Saccharomyces cerevisiae S288C: one gene and its partners. The gene in region 3 interacts genetically with the main gene of each other region. Each region holds a gene or a part of one and is shown on either strand. Other genes may lie near its edges.

Region 1 (4,502 bases), on a different chromosome or scaffold from region 3:
CAATTATCAAATTGAGAATTGGGTGAATTTTGAGATAATTGTTGGGATTCCATTGTCGATAAAGGCTATAATATTAGGTATACAGAATATACTAGAAATTCTCCTCGAGGATATAGGAATCCCAAAATGGAATCTATATTTCTATACACTAATATTACGATTATTCCTCATTCCGTTTTATATGTTTCATTATCCTATTACATTATCAATCCTTGCACTTCAGCTTCCCCTAACTTCGATGACAGCTTCTCATAACTTATGTCATAATCTAACACCGTATATGATAGTATATTGATACTATAACTATTAGTTGACAGACGATAGTGAATTTTTATTCCAACACTTCTTTCCATGATTTTATTCCTAATCAAGAAAATATAGATTTTCACCATAGTAATGATATAGAAAACTAGAAACACTTTCACTTCAAAGTGTTTCAGTCCCAGTGGCCGAGTGGTTAAGGCGATGCCTGCTATTTCCTCAGAAAAGCAATTAGGCATTGGGTTTTACCTGCGCAGGTTCGAATCCTGTCTGTGACGCACTTTATTTTTTCTACATCCACTATTTTAAAGCTTGATTTTTTTGATTGTGAGCCACCTTCATGTACCTATCGTTTGTGGACTATTGCCATTAATTGCTTATTCACTTGCAATGATTTTATAAACATTACTCAAACTATCGGTTCCTACTGGAAGATATAACAAAAAAATTTGGCATATTTCTAAAGGTATCATTATGAACGGCTAAAATTTTTCAGCTTGCTACTATTCTTGAATGATGCCTCTTTAAACATTACTGTGCATTAACACACAATAACAGTGACTTGTAACGGAAATATCGATATACTACAACAGTTAATTATGGGTAAAGCTAAGAAAACAAGAAAGTTTGGCCTCGTAAAAAGAACTTTGAACACCAAGAAAGACCAAAGATTGAAGAAAAACCAGGAAAATATCAAAACTAAAGAAGACCCTGAGCTAACCAGGAATATACCACAAGTATCAAGTGCACTTTTCTTTCAATACAATCAAGCTATAAAGCCACCTTATCAAGTACTGATAGATACCAATTTTATAAATTTTTCTATCCAGAAAAAAGTCGATATTGTTAGAGGAATGATGGACTGTCTACTCGCAAAATGTAACCCGTTAATCACAGATTGTGTGATGGCAGAGTTAGAAAAATTGGGCCCCAAGTACCGTATCGCCTTGAAACTGGCTCGAGATCCTAGAATAAAGAGACTAAGCTGTTCGCACAAGGGTACGTACGCGGATGACTGTTTAGTGCATCGAGTCTTACAACATAAGTGTTACATCGTAGCTACAAACGATGCCGGCCTGAAACAAAGAATTAGAAAAATCCCTGGAATTCCTTTGATGAGCGTAGGCGGTCACGCATACGTCATTGAAAAATTGCCAGATGTCTTTTAAACTACTGTGTATTCACTCTTTAAGTATGTAGTGCAATGTTTTTGGTTTATATGTATATTAATTTCATAACAACAAGTTCATGGTTTGCCCGTATTGGAGCATGTTTTCAGATGAACTGAAATGCCTAAGGATATTTCTATTTCTTTTCAAGACCATTTACTCAATAATTGCTCTAAAGAAACGCAAATGCAAGGAGAAAAAAGAGGGCGTTTGAGACGCGACCAGTAACAGTTATAAACGGTAACCATTTGGCATCTTTTCATAATATCACTGTCAGCTATTATCCTCTTCCATGGGTTCCACGCGATGCAGAATATTTCTTAAGGAAGTTTTCATCTTCGCGCAAGCAAGGGACAAAACTTGATTGTATTTTTACATAAGCAAGCATATTTGATGCTGAAGAAGTATTATTATAAAAACTAAACATTGGAAAATACACATATAGCATACCTTAATATATACGGATAAAAAAAAGGTTGAAAAAATGGCTGGAATTTTGTCAAAGACTCTTTCAGAAGTGCATCCTTCCCTCCGAACAAATGGTATGGGTATCGGTAACACTCACAGGAGGATATCGCTAGGCTTCCTACCTCCCAACAAGAAGAATCCTCTGGTACGAAAATTTCGTGCAAGAACGAGAAATATTGATCAGAGGAGTTTCAGATCTTTAACAGATGATTTTGGAAGTAACGTCCATGAACCAAATCCGTACTTAGGTAATATTGATGAGGAACCTGACCTTTACTATCATGATGAAGAAGATGGCGAACTGAGCAGAACGATTTCTCTACCATCAAGGGTATCAGAAACTCCTGAGCTTTCGCCACAAGATGTTGATTGGATTCTACATGAACATGAACGACGATACTCATCGGTATGCAACTCTGATAATGAGGAAGCAAGTCAAAGCAACACACCAGATAGAATACAAGAATATTCTGGAAGAGAACTAGAATATGACGAATTTATGAATAGACTCCAAGCTCAGAAACAGAAATTAACTCGAAGTGCGGTAACAGACGCTAAAGGCACCTCACATCACAGAAGACCATCATTCGTATCTGTGACTAGCCGAGGCTCAGTTCCCACAATTTACCAAGAGATCGACGAGAACGATTCTGAGGCACTAGCAGAATTGGCTCACAGCCACGTCACCTTCAAATCAGAAGCAAGAGTTTTGGCATCTTATTCCTTCCCTCTAATTTTCACATTCTTATTGGAACAGATTTTCCCTATGGTATGTTCATTAACTGTGGGCCACTTAGGCAAAAATGAACTAGCAGCTGTGTCCTTAGCATCCATGACTTCTAATATAACACTAGCGATATTCGAGGGTATTGCCACTAGTCTAGATACTCTATGCCCTCAAGCGTATGGCTCTGGGAGATTCTACAGTGTAGGAGTTCACCTTCAACGTTGCATTGCTTTTTCATTGGTCATATATATACCTTTTGCTGTCATGTGGTGGTATTCTGAACCTCTTCTTTCTTATATCATCCCTGAGAAAGAATTAATCAACCTAACGTCACGATTTTTAAGAGTACTAATATTGGGAGCGCCAGCGTATATTTTTTTTGAAAATTTAAAACGATTTTTACAAGCCCAAGGTATTTTCGATGCAGGCATCTACGTTTTGACAATATGTGCTCCCTTAAACGTATTAGTCAGTTACACTCTCGTTTGGAACAAGTACATTGGTGTTGGATTTATTGGGGCTGCAATTGCCGTTGTGCTTAACTTCTGGCTAATGTTTTTCTTACTATTGTTTTATGCATTGTATATTGATGGAAGAAAATGCTGGGGTGGATTCTCAAGGAAGGCTTTCACCCATTGGAATGATTTAGGGCATTTAGCCTTCTCAGGTATTATTATGTTGGAGGCGGAAGAGCTGTCATATGAACTATTGACGTTATTTAGTGCATATTACGGTGTCAGTTATCTAGCAGCTCAGTCGGCAGTATCTACTATGGCTGCATTGCTCTATATGATCCCATTTGCAATAGGTATATCTACCTCTACGAGAATTGCGAACTTCATTGGTGCAAAAAGAACCGATTTCGCGCACATCTCTTCTCAAGTTGGGTTGTCATTTTCGTTTATTGCGGGGTTCATCAATTGCTGCATACTAGTATTTGGACGTAATCTAATCGCCAACATTTACTCAAAAGATCCCGAAGTCATCAAATTAATTGCGCAAGTATTGCCCTTGGTGGGTATTGTGCAAAATTTCGACTCGCTTAATGCCGTTGCTGGGTCTTGCCTCAGGGGTCAAGGCATGCAATCTCTAGGAAGTATAGTAAATTTAATGGCTTACTATCTATTTGGAATTCCCCTGGCTCTCATCCTAAGTTGGTTCTTTGACATGAAATTGTATGGTCTTTGGATTGGTATTGGAAGTGCCATGCTTTTAATTGGGCTAGTTGAGGCTTATTACGTATTATTTCCCGATTGGGACAAAATTATGACCTATGCTGAGATTTTGAAAGAAACCGAAGATGATGAAGTAGATAGCGATGAGTATTTAACAGACTCAGACGATCCTGATGAAAACACAGCCCTCTTAGGGGCTTAATTACAGAGGTATATCCGTATTTTCATTTCTTTATTTGATAGTACACGTGATTGTATACCCAATGCATATATTACTAAGAACTTTTTATAATGATGTAATTCAAAATGAAATAAATTACTGATTCATACGCGGTCAAAAAAAAAAAAAGAATATGACGGTTTCTTATTTACAAGCTTTTCTACATATGATTCAAATTATTCTAAAATGTAGCCCTTTTTTGTTTTCTTATCTCCTTACGCTTTTGATTTGCCACTTTCTTAGAATCTCTTATCAATATTTTATCACCAAAAAATTCATAATCTTGCATGTAACGCCTGTCCATATTGAATTCATCCGTTATGGCCGCATCATTCAATCCTAGTTTTTGAATAGTCCAGTAGTATTTTTCAGGATTATCTCTTTTCAAATATCTTAATATTGCCTGCCTTTGCTGGACTAATATCCTCAAATTTCTGGTGTTAGCAAAATCCTTACGATGCTCTTTAATATGGTTTGCCATA
Region 2 (4,251 bases), on a different chromosome or scaffold from region 3:
ACTAATCGCGACATAACAGGCACGAGTCCTACTGGAAGTGCTAGTATTATACAACACCAGTATCATCTTCTACCATCCCAAAGTATAATTGCATCACAAGCACCCGGTACTGCCATGGCCGCGTTGACTAACAACAATATCGCTAACGATTACATGGATATAGATTAATAAGAAAAAAAATAACTGCAGGAAATGAAAATGAAAATGAAATGGAAAAAAAAAAAAGAAAATTTAACCTATTTAAAATAATACAATGTATTACATATTTATCACGACTGTTTACGTATCTCTACTCAATTTACTTTAAAGGCTAAGTGCTCATTCTGGCTACCTTACATCTATCTATAAAACGTTCAAAACTCAAACCTCACTAGGCCTGGAGAAAAAGGGAAAAAAAATATCTCCCGGGGGCGAGTCGAACGCCCGATCTCAAGATTTCGTAGTGGTAAATTACAGTCTTGCGCCTTAAACCAACTTGGCTACCGAGAGTGACTATTTTGATTTACTTCAAAATAAAGTGTCAGTACTACCCTTATTATATGAATGTTGTCGTAACCTCTCGGATTATATGTAGACAATGTTATGGATATATAGAATATAAGTGTTGGAATAAAAATCAACTATCATCTACTAACTAGTATTTACGTTACTAGTATATTATCATATACGGTGTTAGAAGATGACGCAAATGATGAGAAATAGTCATCTAAATTAGTGGAAGCTGAAACGCAAGGATTGATAATGTAATAGGATCAATGAATATTAACATATAAAATGATGATAATAATATTTATAGAATTGTGTAGAATTGCAGATTCCCTTTTATGGATTCCTAAATCCTCGAGGAGAACTTCTAGTACATTCTACATACCTAATATTATTGCCTTATTAAAAATGGAATCCCAACGATTATCTCAAAATTCACCCATTCTTCAATAAGAATTTACGAAATAAATCCGGTAACCATAAATCCACAGAGCCTCTTATATTCACTCTGTTCCTCCATCGCCTATTGAGAAACGTTGGAATAAAACTCTAAAAATATCATCTAGTTAGTTAGTTTTTATTTTACCAGTACATTGTCACTTGCGGAGGGAGGATGACATAAAGATTGAGACGCAGTCATTTAATGAAGTTTAAACGCGGGTACTTGATAAAGTAATACGATATTGAATCATGACGTATAAAGTGAAATGAACGAATGATTACGTAAAAATGTCGATTTTCTCTTGAGAGACTCCCATAGCCTCTAAGAGGCCTTCTACTACGTTCCATATATCTAAGAATGGGGCCATATCCAGTGGAATCCCAGCAATTATTTGAGAATCACCATTTCTCAGCCGATATTTTAGCAGAATTACTACCAATATCAGGGGGCAATAGTTGATCGCCTACTTTAACAAAAAATGTTGCTCACGTATTAACACAGGCAACAAAAAGGATATTACGCAAGAACGTAGTATCCACATGCCATCCTCCTTGTTGCATCTTTTTTTTCCGAAATGATTCCCTTTCCTGCACAACACGAGATCTTTCACGCATACATCGGAAGGATCACCCCCCACTCAAGTCGTTGCATTGCTAACATGTGGCATTCTGCCCATTTTTTTCACGAAAATTCTCTCTCTATAATGAAGACCCTTGTGCCCTGGACTCTGTAATACTTGAAACTACTTCCTCAATAATCGCTTGGAGACCTACCCCCACGCTTTTCAAACAAGGCGCTAGCAAAAAGCCTGCCGATATCTCCTTGCCCCCTCCTCCTGTTCGAGAGAACTACGACCCGACCAATAATAATGTCATACAAGAACCGCCAAGAACCAACTGCTGAACCTTAGATCTCCAATACTTTCAGTTGGAGTATGTGAATATATAAGTACCTGGTCGACTAATCTTCTTGCATCTTTTCGTATTCTTACATCCTATGTCGCTAATACAGTTCCCGCATAGAGAAGAAAGCAAACAAAAGTAGTCAATGCTAAAATACAAACCTTTACTAAAAATCTCGAAGAACTGTGAGGCTGCTATCCTCAGAGCGTCTAAGACTAGATTGAACACAATCCGCGCGTACGGTTCTACCGTTCCAAAATCCAAGTCGTTCGAACAAGACTCAAGAAAACGCACACAGTCATGGACTGCCTTGAGAGTCGGTGCAATTCTAGCCGCTACTAGTTCCGTGGCGTATCTAAACTGGCATAATGGCCAAATAGACAACGAGCCGAAACTGGATATGAATAAACAAAAGATTTCGCCCGCTGAAGTTGCCAAGCATAACAAGCCCGATGATTGTTGGGTTGTGATCAATGGTTACGTATACGACTTAACGCGATTCCTACCAAATCATCCAGGTGGGCAGGATGTTATCAAGTTTAACGCCGGGAAAGATGTCACTGCTATTTTTGAACCACTACATGCTCCTAATGTCATCGATAAGTATATAGCTCCCGAGAAAAAATTGGGTCCCCTTCAAGGATCCATGCCTCCTGAACTTGTCTGTCCTCCTTATGCTCCTGGTGAAACTAAGGAAGATATCGCTAGAAAAGAACAACTAAAATCGCTGCTACCTCCTCTAGATAATATTATTAACCTTTACGACTTTGAATACTTGGCCTCTCAAACTTTGACTAAACAAGCGTGGGCCTACTATTCCTCCGGTGCTAACGACGAAGTTACTCACAGAGAAAACCATAATGCTTATCATAGGATTTTTTTCAAACCAAAGATCCTTGTAGATGTACGCAAAGTAGACATTTCAACTGACATGTTGGGTTCTCATGTGGATGTTCCCTTCTACGTGTCTGCTACAGCTTTGTGTAAACTGGGAAACCCCTTAGAAGGTGAAAAAGATGTCGCCAGAGGTTGTGGCCAAGGTGTGACAAAAGTCCCACAAATGATATCTACTTTGGCTTCATGTTCCCCTGAGGAAATTATTGAAGCAGCACCCTCTGATAAACAAATTCAATGGTACCAACTATATGTTAACTCTGATAGAAAGATCACTGATGATTTGGTTAAAAATGTAGAAAAGCTGGGTGTAAAGGCATTATTTGTCACTGTGGATGCTCCAAGTTTAGGTCAAAGAGAAAAAGATATGAAGCTGAAATTTTCCAATACAAAGGCTGGTCCAAAAGCGATGAAGAAAACTAATGTAGAAGAATCTCAAGGTGCTTCGAGAGCGTTATCAAAGTTTATTGACCCCTCTTTGACTTGGAAAGATATAGAAGAGTTGAAGAAAAAGACAAAACTACCTATTGTTATCAAAGGTGTTCAACGTACCGAAGATGTTATCAAAGCAGCAGAAATCGGTGTAAGTGGGGTGGTTCTATCCAATCATGGTGGTAGACAATTAGATTTTTCAAGGGCTCCCATTGAAGTCCTGGCTGAAACCATGCCAATCCTGGAACAACGTAACTTGAAGGATAAGTTGGAAGTTTTCGTGGACGGTGGTGTTCGTCGTGGTACAGATGTCTTGAAAGCGTTATGTCTAGGTGCTAAAGGTGTTGGTTTGGGTAGACCATTCTTGTATGCGAACTCATGCTATGGTCGTAATGGTGTTGAAAAAGCCATTGAAATTTTAAGAGATGAAATTGAAATGTCTATGAGACTATTAGGTGTTACTAGCATTGCGGAATTGAAGCCTGATCTTTTAGATCTATCAACACTAAAGGCAAGAACAGTTGGAGTACCAAACGACGTGCTGTATAATGAAGTTTATGAGGGACCTACTTTAACAGAATTTGAGGATGCATGATTATAGCCTAGCTTTAAGGCTACTTTAAAAACTTTTTATTTATTCATACATATATATTATCGAACATTCGTATAACTTAATATCATTCAAAAAAAAAAAAAAAAAAAAAAGAAAACATATACACATATATATTTATGTTTATAGAGAGAGAGAGAGAAAATTTGAATTTTTGAATCATTTGCAAAGTTATATGTTTTATACATTATTTATTCATTTTTTTTGGTGTCGAGGACATTGTGCTGTTCAGAGAACCACTTAAAATACGCATCGTTCTGTAAATATCCACTTTCATTAAAAACCTTATTCACTTCTAATTTTGCCTTCAACTCCTTCTTGGAGTTTTCTCCCTTTTTTTTCTGAACAAGCTCAACCAGATATAATGGTTCGTTCTTTTCGAACTTTGTCTTTACATATATTTCCTCCTTTGTACCTCTTCTCTTTCCCACATAAACAGTCCCCTTTTCAATAAAACGAGAGAAATACCAGAAAAGTAGCGAGAG
Region 3 (4,572 bases):
TACTTGTGGATCTTGGTGGTTCACCCTTTAAGCGTCCTCCAAAAACAGTGGTCATTCTTTCTTCGACAGAAGTAGAGATATCTTGAGTGTTTCCTTCAAAAGTCATATCTACTCTGGAGTATCTTGTGAACCTCCGCACCGGATAAATTCTGTAAAGTAATGACCATCCCTGATTTCTTATCATTTTCTACTTTTGATCACGTCTCTATCTAATGACGGTTTCATGCACCCTCTGACTGTTGTAATTTACGTATTATTATTCTGTTTAATTTATGCTATTTATGTAAATGAGTTCGGCCATGTCGGAGGAGAAAGATATCTTTTTTCAAATTTGAGTATCTGATTCGGGCTTATAATACATGCCCACGACATCGCTCGATCATATATTCCAACTCTTCAAGCTCCCTCTTCATTTTATTCTTCACGTTGAACGGTTCAAAGAGCCCCAGAAAATAGGTGCTGAGATCCAGACACTCCTTGTACTTACATTGGTAAAATAAACGATGGCAGAAACCACTAAGCACCTGTCGCTGATGCTTATTGGAGATATCGTACTTGCCTTCCCGGATCTCAACCAAGGGATCTACCTCATCCATCCATCCTACCTTTGTCCGCACAGGGCCTTGTTCTACTTCGAAGTAGTGCTGCAATTGCTGTGTATACTCTTCTTCCGTTTGACCTTTACGTATTTTAGTTTTCCCGGTGGATTTTCTAACAATTACTTCACCTGTTCTACCATCTAACGAGATTGGCTTAGTCACTGATTGATCCTTCTCTCCGTGGGCTTTCCTAAAACCTGTACTATAGTTTTTTTCCACCATTTTTGGTGCTTCTTCTCTATCAGATGCTTCTTTCATAAAAATTATTATCTTTCTTAGCTGTTATTCATCTTACATTTTTTTTTCAATTACGGCGAGGCGATGACTTCAATCGTTGCTGTCAAGATTGAATTGACAATTACAGTCGATGTTGAATATTAACTTATATATGACAGATCATTACAGCTAGTCTAGTTCGACAAGATTAGTAAGATTAGGAGTTATTTTTAACTGCTTATTATGCAAGTTGTGTAGGCCACAGGCGCAACTGAAAAACATAATTTCAGATTAGGCAGTTACTGGAAAGATCGCGTTCTTGTATTGTCTAAATAGAAGCAGTTGTTTTAATAATGCTTACAATTGAACTATGAACCAAAGCAATAATTTATGAGAAACTAAAATGGGATGCATCAGATCTTTGCACTCAATTGAGTTTAAAACTGTACAGGTACTAATATTATATTAACGCTGCTTCTATAACACTTGTTTTGACATGACGATAAGTGTAGTGTATTCAAATGCCGTATGTCACTTGAACACACAGGGAACTGCACTCTGCACTTCGGAACAAGATTGAAAGTTACTGTGTTATTAACCTTTGCCAACAAGCGAAAACAACCAGGTGTTTCTGCGGTTTACAAAATCTTTAAGGGATTGAGGTTAGTTGGCTCAAAGAGAAGAAGTTCCCAGTCGATGTATCAAGCAGAGCTAAGAGAAAAAGTGCCGCGAAAGGGTTTGATTGGTCAAGTTGGCTTGTTCATCAGGAACTAAATTAATCAAGGTGTGATTCTATCTGTCAACCCCCCCCCTTGATACTTCCTGTACTTAGAATCAATTTATTAAATACAAATTTAGAATCTGTGATTCGTAAATCTTAAGTGTTTAAATACTAAGTGTGTATTAAAGGCTTTACTTCAAGCAACGAAAAATAAATAACCCCGAATATATGAGGGGCAATAATACCTTTTCACTCATTTGATGAAAAAGAAAAGATGTTTGATGTTATAGAAAATACCTTATACCATATCTTCTACCTACTCATCAATATCAAACCCTCACAGAATAGAGATAAAGAACATCAGAACCATCTGGGCAATGTCATTTTTAAAGTTCGCTTATAGAAACTCTTGGCGATACTATAGCAAGTCCACACGGCATTTTCATAAAATACCTATAAGACAGTTCATAATACCTACGTCAATTGCTTTTTATTTGACACAAAATTCGTTTCCAAAACAAAATTGTTTGATATACAATGATTCTCTAAAACCGGATCCCAAAGGTGATACTTTTGAAATGGGCCTCTACGTTTCCTCAGAAAACGAATTGCAGGAAAAGCTTAAATCTTTCAGGTCTGCTAAGATCACTGAATCACGAAATAAATTAATAAGATATCTAAGAATCTTTTGGTTCGGTTTTAATGATAATATTGTTGAGCCTGTATGCACGATTTTAAGGTTTTTAGAAATTTCAGCTATTTTTTTACCTCTTCTCCTATTATACCCCATATCATGGTTTGGTCATAAACTCAAAATTACGGACACCAATATAACTGAAACTCGAGGTTCATTGATTTGGTGTCAACTACTGCGTAAAGCATTGGAATTGGCTGGCCCGAGTTTCATTAAACTCGGACAATGGGCAGGATCGAGAACCGATATATTCTCTCACGCACTGTGTCATGAGTTGGGTAAATTGCATAGTAACGTTACAGCTCACTCTCTAAGCTTTACTCTGGAAAAACTTTCTCAAGCATTAAAGGTTGACAAGATCGAAGATGCTTTTGATGAATTTAATCGAACACCAATTGGAGTTGGGTCCATCGCACAAGTTTACGTGGGTGAACTATCCCAAAAGTACATCGATAAATATGACAATATACAAATTGGTAAGGATGGAAATCGTTGGTGTGCCATCAAGATCTTGCATCCAAATGTAAGATCTCAGATCCGGAGAGATTTGAAAATAATGAAATTCTGTGCTGACGCAATAAATTGGATTCCGACTATGGAATGGCTGTCTTTACCCAGCGAAGTCGATCAGTTTTCCATATTAATGAATATTCAGTTGGATCTAAGAATTGAGGCGTTAAACCTGGAAAGATTCAATGAGAACTTTAAAAATTCTATTCAGGTGAAATTTCCTAAACCATTTCTCCCCTTGTCAAATAGGGATGTTATGTTCGAAGAGCATGTATATGGTCTTTCCATGGAAAAGTTTTTATCTACGAAGAAGCAAATTAACGACGTTGAACTTTGTAAAAAAGTCAGTGATCCCTTCGTTGACGCGTTTCTACAAATGCTAATTCTTGATGATTTTGTTCATGCTGATTTGCATCCAGGCAATGTTATAATCAGATTTGTGAAGACGAACAAATACGGCACAAACATTATATCCTCCGAACTTGAATCGTACAGAATAACGCACGACCTGAGGAAGAAGATAGAGGAGGACCAAGATCAGGACTTTGTTGGAAAACTGAAGTCTGTATTAACTAATTACACTCCCCAAATTTGTTTTATCGATACAGGAATAATTACAGAATTGAATGAAAAAAACAGAATTAATTTCATAGCTCTATTCAACGCATTGGCCCGATTTGATGGTTATAGAGCTGGTGAGTTGATGATTGAGAGATCAAGAACTCCAGAAACAGCTATTGATAAGGAAGTATTTGCGTTTAAGGTAGAAAAGCTAGTGGATAAAGTTAAACAAAGAACATTTACATTGGGAACCGTCTCAATTGGCGATTTACTCGATCAAATGCTTAGTATGGTAAGGTCGCACCATGTTAGAATGGAGTCCGACTTTGTTTCCGTGGTGGTCGCTATTTTACTTCTAGAGGGTATTGGACGCCAGTTAGATCCAAACTTGGACTTATTTGAAAGGTTCGTATTTTACGCATGGATTAACGGTTTTAAAGAATAACATCAATTTTTTAAAACCCTTTTCTATTGCTTTTTTTTGCTTTTTATTGCTACTAAAGAAATTCTTTTACTAACAAAAATACCCACATCTTGTAACTTCTCTTCGTAAACAGTTCGCTGCCTATATTACGTGAATTCGGGTTTAAGCGGGAAGCCAAAAGTCTCTTGAAAGATGCAAGCACATTATCAATGCTCAAGATATGGGTTGGTTTAGAAGTGCGTCAATTAATGCATCTCTCGATGAAGCAAATATACGATCTTGTCAGGACTGATCAATTGTGTCCTAATTATTAATATTCTTTCTTTTTATGCATCTTTTATAATTGCGACTTCCACGTGTTCGCAGGTGGAGCAATGTTACACACGCTGTCCCAACATATTAGCTCTCCAAAAAAACGACCAAGTTTATTTAAGTGACAAATAATAATTTGCTGTTGCTCTAGCTGAAATTTAGACCAGTGCTGTCATTATCGACTCGTAGTGTTCTTTTAATAGTAAATTTCGTCAAAACGTTTCTAATTCACTTAATAGCGCCAACTGAATAAGAGAATTATTTTTAGAACGTGCACATTATATTAAAAAGAGAGCGTTGGCTGACAGAAGTAAAAAATAAATTATTGTCTTACAAAGTGAGACTATTAAAGAGTTTAAGTTTTGCAATTAGTGCTTCATTGAACAATAAGGCAACGGTAGCAAAAAATTTAAACCCAACTAAGAAGGGAACCCTCATCAAATTACACAAAAATAGCCACTATCTCCAACTAAGGTGACAAACTACTGAAACTGTAAGGTCTTTATATAATCAAACAATATAATCAATGAAGTTC
Region 4 (5,641 bases), on a different chromosome or scaffold from region 3:
GTCACCACCACCAATGATGACGGTGTTACCAGCAGCAGAGCTCTTGACAACTTCGTCTAACAAAGCCTTAGTACCAGCAGCGAACTTTTCGAATTCGAAAACACCTGGTGGACCGTTCCAGACAATGGTCTTAGCCTTTGCAACAGTAGCAGCAAACAACTTTCTAGATTCTGGACCATTGTCCAACCCTTGCCAGCCAGCTGGAATACCTTCCTTGTCAGTGACAGTCTTGGTGTTGGCATCAGCAGAGAAAGCATCAGCAATGATGAAGTCGACTGGCAAGACGACTTCGACACCCTTGGCCTTGGCCTTTTCCATCAACTTTGGAACGATTTCAGCACCAGCCTTGTCGAAGATGGAGTCACCGATTTCAGTGTTTTCCAAAACCTTCTTGAAGGTGAAAGCCATACCACCACCAATGATGATAGAGTCGACCTTGTCCAACAAGTTGTCAATCAATTGAATCTTGTCAGCAACCTTGGCACCACCTAAGATGGCCAAGAATGGTCTGGTTGGGTTCTCCAAAGCCTTACCGAAGTACTTCAATTCCTTTTCCAACAAGAAACCGGCAGCACGTTGTGGCAAGTCGAAACCGACCATAGAAGAGTGAGCTCTGTGAGCGGTACCGAAGGCATCGTTGATGTAAACATCAGCCAAAGAGCTCAATTCGTGTCTGAACTTTTGAACATCTTCCTTGGAAGCCTTGACCTTTTGACCATCGACCTTTCTGGAACCTTCTTCTTCGATGTGGTAACGCAAGTTTTCCAACAAAATAACGGAACCTGGGGCAGAAGCCTTGACAGCGGCTTCAACTTCTGGACCGACACAGTCGTTCAAGAAGGTGACATCCTTACCCAACAATGATTGCAATTCCTTAGCAACTGGAGCCAAAGAGTATTTTTCGTTTCTTTCACCGTTTGGTCTACCCAAGTGAGAAGCCAAGACAACGTATCTTGGGTGGTGTTCCAAAACGTACTTGATGGTTGGCAAAGCAGCAACAATTCTTTGGTTAGAAGTGATCTTCTTACCGTCCAATGGGACGTTGAAGTCAACTCTGATGAAGACACGCTTGTCCTTCAAGTCCAAATCTTGGACAGACAACTTTGAAGATAAAGACATTGTTTTATATTTGTTGTAAAAAGTAGATAATTACTTCCTTGATGATCTGTAAAAAAGAGAAAAAGAAAGCATCTAAGAACTTGAAAAACTACGAATTAGAAAAGACCAAATATGTATTTCTTGCATTGACCAATTTATGCAAGTTTATATATATGTAAATGTAAGTTTCACGAGGTTCTACTAAACTAAACCACCCCCTTGGTTAGAAGAAAAGAGTGTGTGAGAACAGGCTGTTGTTGTCACACGATTCGGACAATTCTGTTTGAAAGAGAGAGAGTAACAGTACGATCGAACGAACTTTGCTCTGGAGATCACAGTGGGCATCATAGCATGTGGTACTAAACCCTTTCCCGCCATTCCAGAACCTTCGATTGCTTGTTACAAAACCTGTGAGCCGTCGCTAGGACCTTGTTGTGTGACGAAATTGGAAGCTGCAATCAATAGGAAGACAGGAAGTCGAGCGTGTCTGGGTTTTTTCAGTTTTGTTCTTTTTGCAAACAAATCACGAGCGACGGTAATTTCTTTCTCGATAAGAGGCCACGTGCTTTATGAGGGTAACATCAATTCAAGAAGGAGGGAAACACTTCCTTTTTCTGGCCCTGATAATAGTATGAGGGTGAAGCCAAAATAAAGGATTCGCGCCCAAATCGGCATCTTTAAATGCAGGTATGCGATAGTTCCTCACTCTTTCCTTACTCACGAGTAATTCTTGCAAATGCCTATTATGCAGATGTTATAATATCTGTGCGTCTTGAGTTGAAGTCAGGAATCTAAAATAAAAATTAAGGTTAATAAAAAGAGGAAAGAAAAAAAAATTAATCGATTTACAGAAACTTGCACACTAAAAATACACAACTAAAAGCAATTACAGTATGGGAAGTCATCGACGTTATCTCTACTATAGTATATTATCATTTCTATTATTATCCTGCTCAGTGGTACTTGCAAAACAAGATAAGACCCCATTCTTTGAAGGTACTTCTTCGAAAAATTCGCGTCTAACTGCACAAGATAAGGGCAATGATACATGCCCGCCATGTTTTAATTGTATGCTACCTATTTTTGAATGCAAACAGTTTTCTGAATGCAATTCGTACACTGGTAGATGTGAGTGTATAGAAGGGTTTGCAGGTGATGATTGCTCTCTGCCCCTCTGTGGCGGTCTATCACCGGATGAAAGCGGTAATAAGGATCGTCCCATAAGAGCACAAAATGACACCTGTCATTGTGATAACGGATGGGGAGGGATCAATTGTGACGTTTGTCAAGAAGATTTTGTCTGTGATGCGTTCATGCCTGATCCTAGTATTAAGGGGACATGTTATAAGAATGGTATGATTGTAGATAAAGTATTTTCAGGTTGTAATGTGACCAATGAGAAAATTCTACAGATTTTGAACGGCAAAATACCACAAATTACATTTGCCTGTGATAAACCTAATCAAGAATGTAATTTTCAGTTTTGGATAGATCAGTTAGAAAGCTTCTATTGTGGCTTAAGTGATTGTGCCTTTGAATACGACTTGGAACAGAATACCTCCCATTATAAGTGTAATGACGTTCAATGCAAATGCGTTCCCGACACTGTGTTGTGTGGTGCTAAGGGGTCTATAGATATCTCGGATTTCCTGACAGAGACAATAAAAGGGCCAGGAGATTTCAGCTGTGATTTAGAAACAAGGCAATGTAAATTCAGTGAGCCTTCTATGAATGATTTGATATTGACCGTGTTTGGTGACCCTTATATTACTTTGAAGTGTGAATCCGGTGAATGTGTTCATTATAGTGAGATTCCAGGTTACAAATCTCCTTCAAAAGATCCAACAGTGTCATGGCAAGGGAAATTGGTGTTGGCATTGACTGCTGTGATGGTCCTGGCACTTTTTACATTTGCTACCTTTTACATTTCTAAATCTCCGTTATTCAGAAATGGATTGGGTTCCTCAAAGTCTCCCATTCGTTTGCCAGATGAAGATGCGGTGAATAATTTCTTACAAAATGAAGATGACACACTGGCGACATTAAGTTTTGAAAATATCACTTATAGTGTCCCCTCGATAAATTCAGATGGTGTTGAAGAAACTGTGCTGAATGAAATAAGTGGTATCGTGAAGCCCGGCCAAATATTAGCTATCATGGGTGGATCTGGTGCGGGTAAAACTACTTTATTAGATATCCTAGCAATGAAACGGAAAACAGGTCACGTTTCGGGTTCCATAAAAGTTAACGGTATTAGTATGGACCGTAAATCTTTCTCGAAAATAATCGGGTTCGTCGATCAAGATGACTTTTTGCTGCCCACTTTGACTGTTTTTGAAACCGTATTAAATAGTGCGCTGTTAAGATTGCCAAAAGCATTGTCATTCGAGGCCAAGAAGGCAAGAGTTTATAAGGTGTTGGAAGAACTAAGAATTATTGATATCAAAGATCGTATTATTGGTAATGAATTTGATCGTGGTATTAGTGGAGGTGAAAAACGCCGAGTTTCCATTGCATGTGAATTAGTGACATCTCCATTGGTTTTATTTTTGGATGAACCTACATCTGGTTTAGATGCTAGTAATGCCAATAATGTTATTGAATGTTTGGTAAGGTTATCCAGCGACTATAACAGGACATTGGTGCTATCTATTCATCAGCCAAGATCAAATATATTTTATTTATTCGATAAATTGGTCCTGTTAAGTAAAGGTGAGATGGTCTATTCCGGAAATGCCAAAAAAGTGTCAGAATTTTTGAGAAATGAGGGATATATCTGTCCGGACAACTATAATATTGCTGATTATTTGATTGATATTACTTTTGAAGCCGGTCCTCAGGGGAAAAGGAGAAGAATCAGAAACATTTCCGATTTAGAAGCTGGTACGGATACTAACGATATTGATAATACGATACACCAAACAACATTTACTAGCAGTGATGGTACAACACAGAGAGAGTGGGCTCATCTTGCAGCTCATAGAGATGAGATCAGATCTTTACTCAGAGATGAAGAAGATGTAGAGGGAACAGATGGAAGGCGAGGTGCTACTGAGATTGACTTAAATACCAAACTACTACACGATAAATATAAAGATAGCGTCTATTATGCAGAGCTTTCACAGGAGATCGAGGAAGTTTTAAGCGAAGGTGATGAGGAAAGTAACGTTTTGAATGGAGATTTACCCACAGGTCAACAATCTGCTGGTTTTCTGCAACAGTTATCGATATTGAATTCAAGAAGTTTTAAAAACATGTACAGAAACCCTAAACTATTATTGGGTAATTATTTACTGACGATCCTATTGAGTTTATTCTTGGGAACACTATATTACAACGTCTCCAATGATATCAGCGGTTTTCAGAACAGAATGGGGCTGTTCTTCTTTATACTAACGTACTTCGGTTTTGTTACATTCACAGGTCTCAGCTCGTTCGCTCTGGAAAGGATCATTTTCATAAAAGAAAGATCCAATAACTATTACTCGCCACTTGCATACTACATTAGTAAGATAATGAGCGAAGTGGTCCCGCTACGTGTTGTACCACCTATACTCTTGTCATTGATTGTTTACCCAATGACTGGTTTAAACATGAAAGACAATGCTTTTTTTAAATGTATTGGAATCCTTATACTGTTTAACCTTGGGATATCGTTGGAAATCCTAACCATCGGCATAATTTTTGAAGACTTGAATAACTCCATAATATTAAGCGTGCTGGTGCTTTTGGGCTCACTACTGTTTAGCGGACTATTTATCAATACTAAGAATATTACAAACGTGGCCTTCAAGTACCTGAAAAACTTCTCTGTGTTTTACTACGCCTACGAATCTTTATTGATCAATGAGGTCAAAACATTGATGCTGAAAGAGAGAAAGTACGGCTTAAATATTGAAGTTCCAGGCGCTACTATCTTGAGCACATTTGGATTTGTTGTCCAAAACCTTGTATTTGACATCAAGATCCTGGCTCTGTTTAATGTGGTGTTTTTAATAATGGGGTATCTAGCCCTTAAGTGGATAGTTGTGGAACAAAAGTAGATAGGCGTCGTATATAGTCTCTTCTTTTACATAAGAAATAATAATTTTTGGCCCCGCAACTTTCCTTATTTTCGAGAGGGTCCACTGCCCGTTGATCCGGAGCTCCGTGGAATAGGCGAGCGGCTGAGTGGTTCTCCAAGCTACGGTTTTTACGTGTAGCCCCATGTGAGCAAGCCAAACAAGGGCCCTTAAAGGCGTGACTACAAAAAGGGGCGGGTTGGAAGGTCATCTGCAGCGAGATACGAAAAGATTTTTTGCCAGATTTGCGGTTGGGCGGCTATTTCGGTATTGTTGGGGTAACAAACGTTGGGGAAGACTGCATTTTCTTACAGCTTTTTTTCGTTATCGCGGGTTGGGCGGCTATGGCGCCTTCTCCTCTGTACTCCAACCTGTCAGAGACACCAAGCTGTATATAAAGCACCTTGGTTGGATCGTATTTCCCTGAGATCTTGCTATAGGTTCATTTTATATATCGTCCAATAGCAATAACAATACAACAG

What was found.
Region 1: mutations in CQD1 (region 3) and YDR338C together harm fitness more than expected from each alone (negative genetic interaction), as found in Saccharomyces cerevisiae (2 studies listed by BioGRID).
Region 2: mutations in CQD1 (region 3) and CYB2 together harm fitness more than expected from each alone (negative genetic interaction), as found in Saccharomyces cerevisiae (2 studies listed by BioGRID).
Region 4: mutations in CQD1 (region 3) and ADP1 together harm fitness more than expected from each alone (negative genetic interaction), as found in Saccharomyces cerevisiae (2 studies listed by BioGRID).

Annotation. Positions count from the first base shown.
Region 1 is NC_001136.10:1,146,879-1,151,380, reverse strand, and holds YDR338C (uncharacterized protein), read left to right. Parts: upstream 1-1,914; coding exon 1,915-4,002; downstream 4,003-4,502. Other genes in the region: rRNA-processing protein FCF1, read left to right, coding at 861-1,430; mitochondrial 37S ribosomal protein uS15m MRPS28, read right to left, coding at 4,202-4,502.
Region 2 is NC_001145.3:165,033-169,283, reverse strand, and holds CYB2 (L-lactate dehydrogenase (cytochrome)), read left to right. Parts: upstream 1-1,975; coding exon 1,976-3,751; downstream 3,752-4,251. Other genes in the region: YML053C (uncharacterized protein), read left to right, coding at 1-168; YML054C-A (uncharacterized protein), read left to right, coding at 1,503-1,661; signal peptidase complex subunit SPC2, read right to left, coding at 3,958-4,251. UniProt on the Saccharomyces cerevisiae protein: Catalyzes the oxidation of (S)-lactate (L-lactate) to pyruvate with subsequent transfer of electrons to cytochrome c. Is involved in the utilization of (S)-lactate as a sole source of carbon for growth.
Region 3 is NC_001148.4:344,731-349,302, reverse strand, and holds CQD1 (Cqd1p), read left to right. Parts: upstream 1-1,913; coding exon 1,914-3,706; intron 3,707-3,858; coding exon 3,859-4,039; downstream 4,040-4,572. Other genes in the region: DPC25 (Dpc25p), read right to left, coding at 1-184; YPL108W (uncharacterized protein), read right to left, coding at 351-857; GDE1 (glycerophosphocholine phosphodiesterase), read left to right, coding at 4,564-4,572.
Region 4 is NC_001135.5:133,224-138,864, reverse strand, and holds ADP1 (putative ATP-dependent permease ADP1), read left to right. Parts: upstream 1-1,991; coding exon 1,992-5,141; downstream 5,142-5,641. Other genes in the region: PGK1 (phosphoglycerate kinase), read right to left, coding at 1-1,119.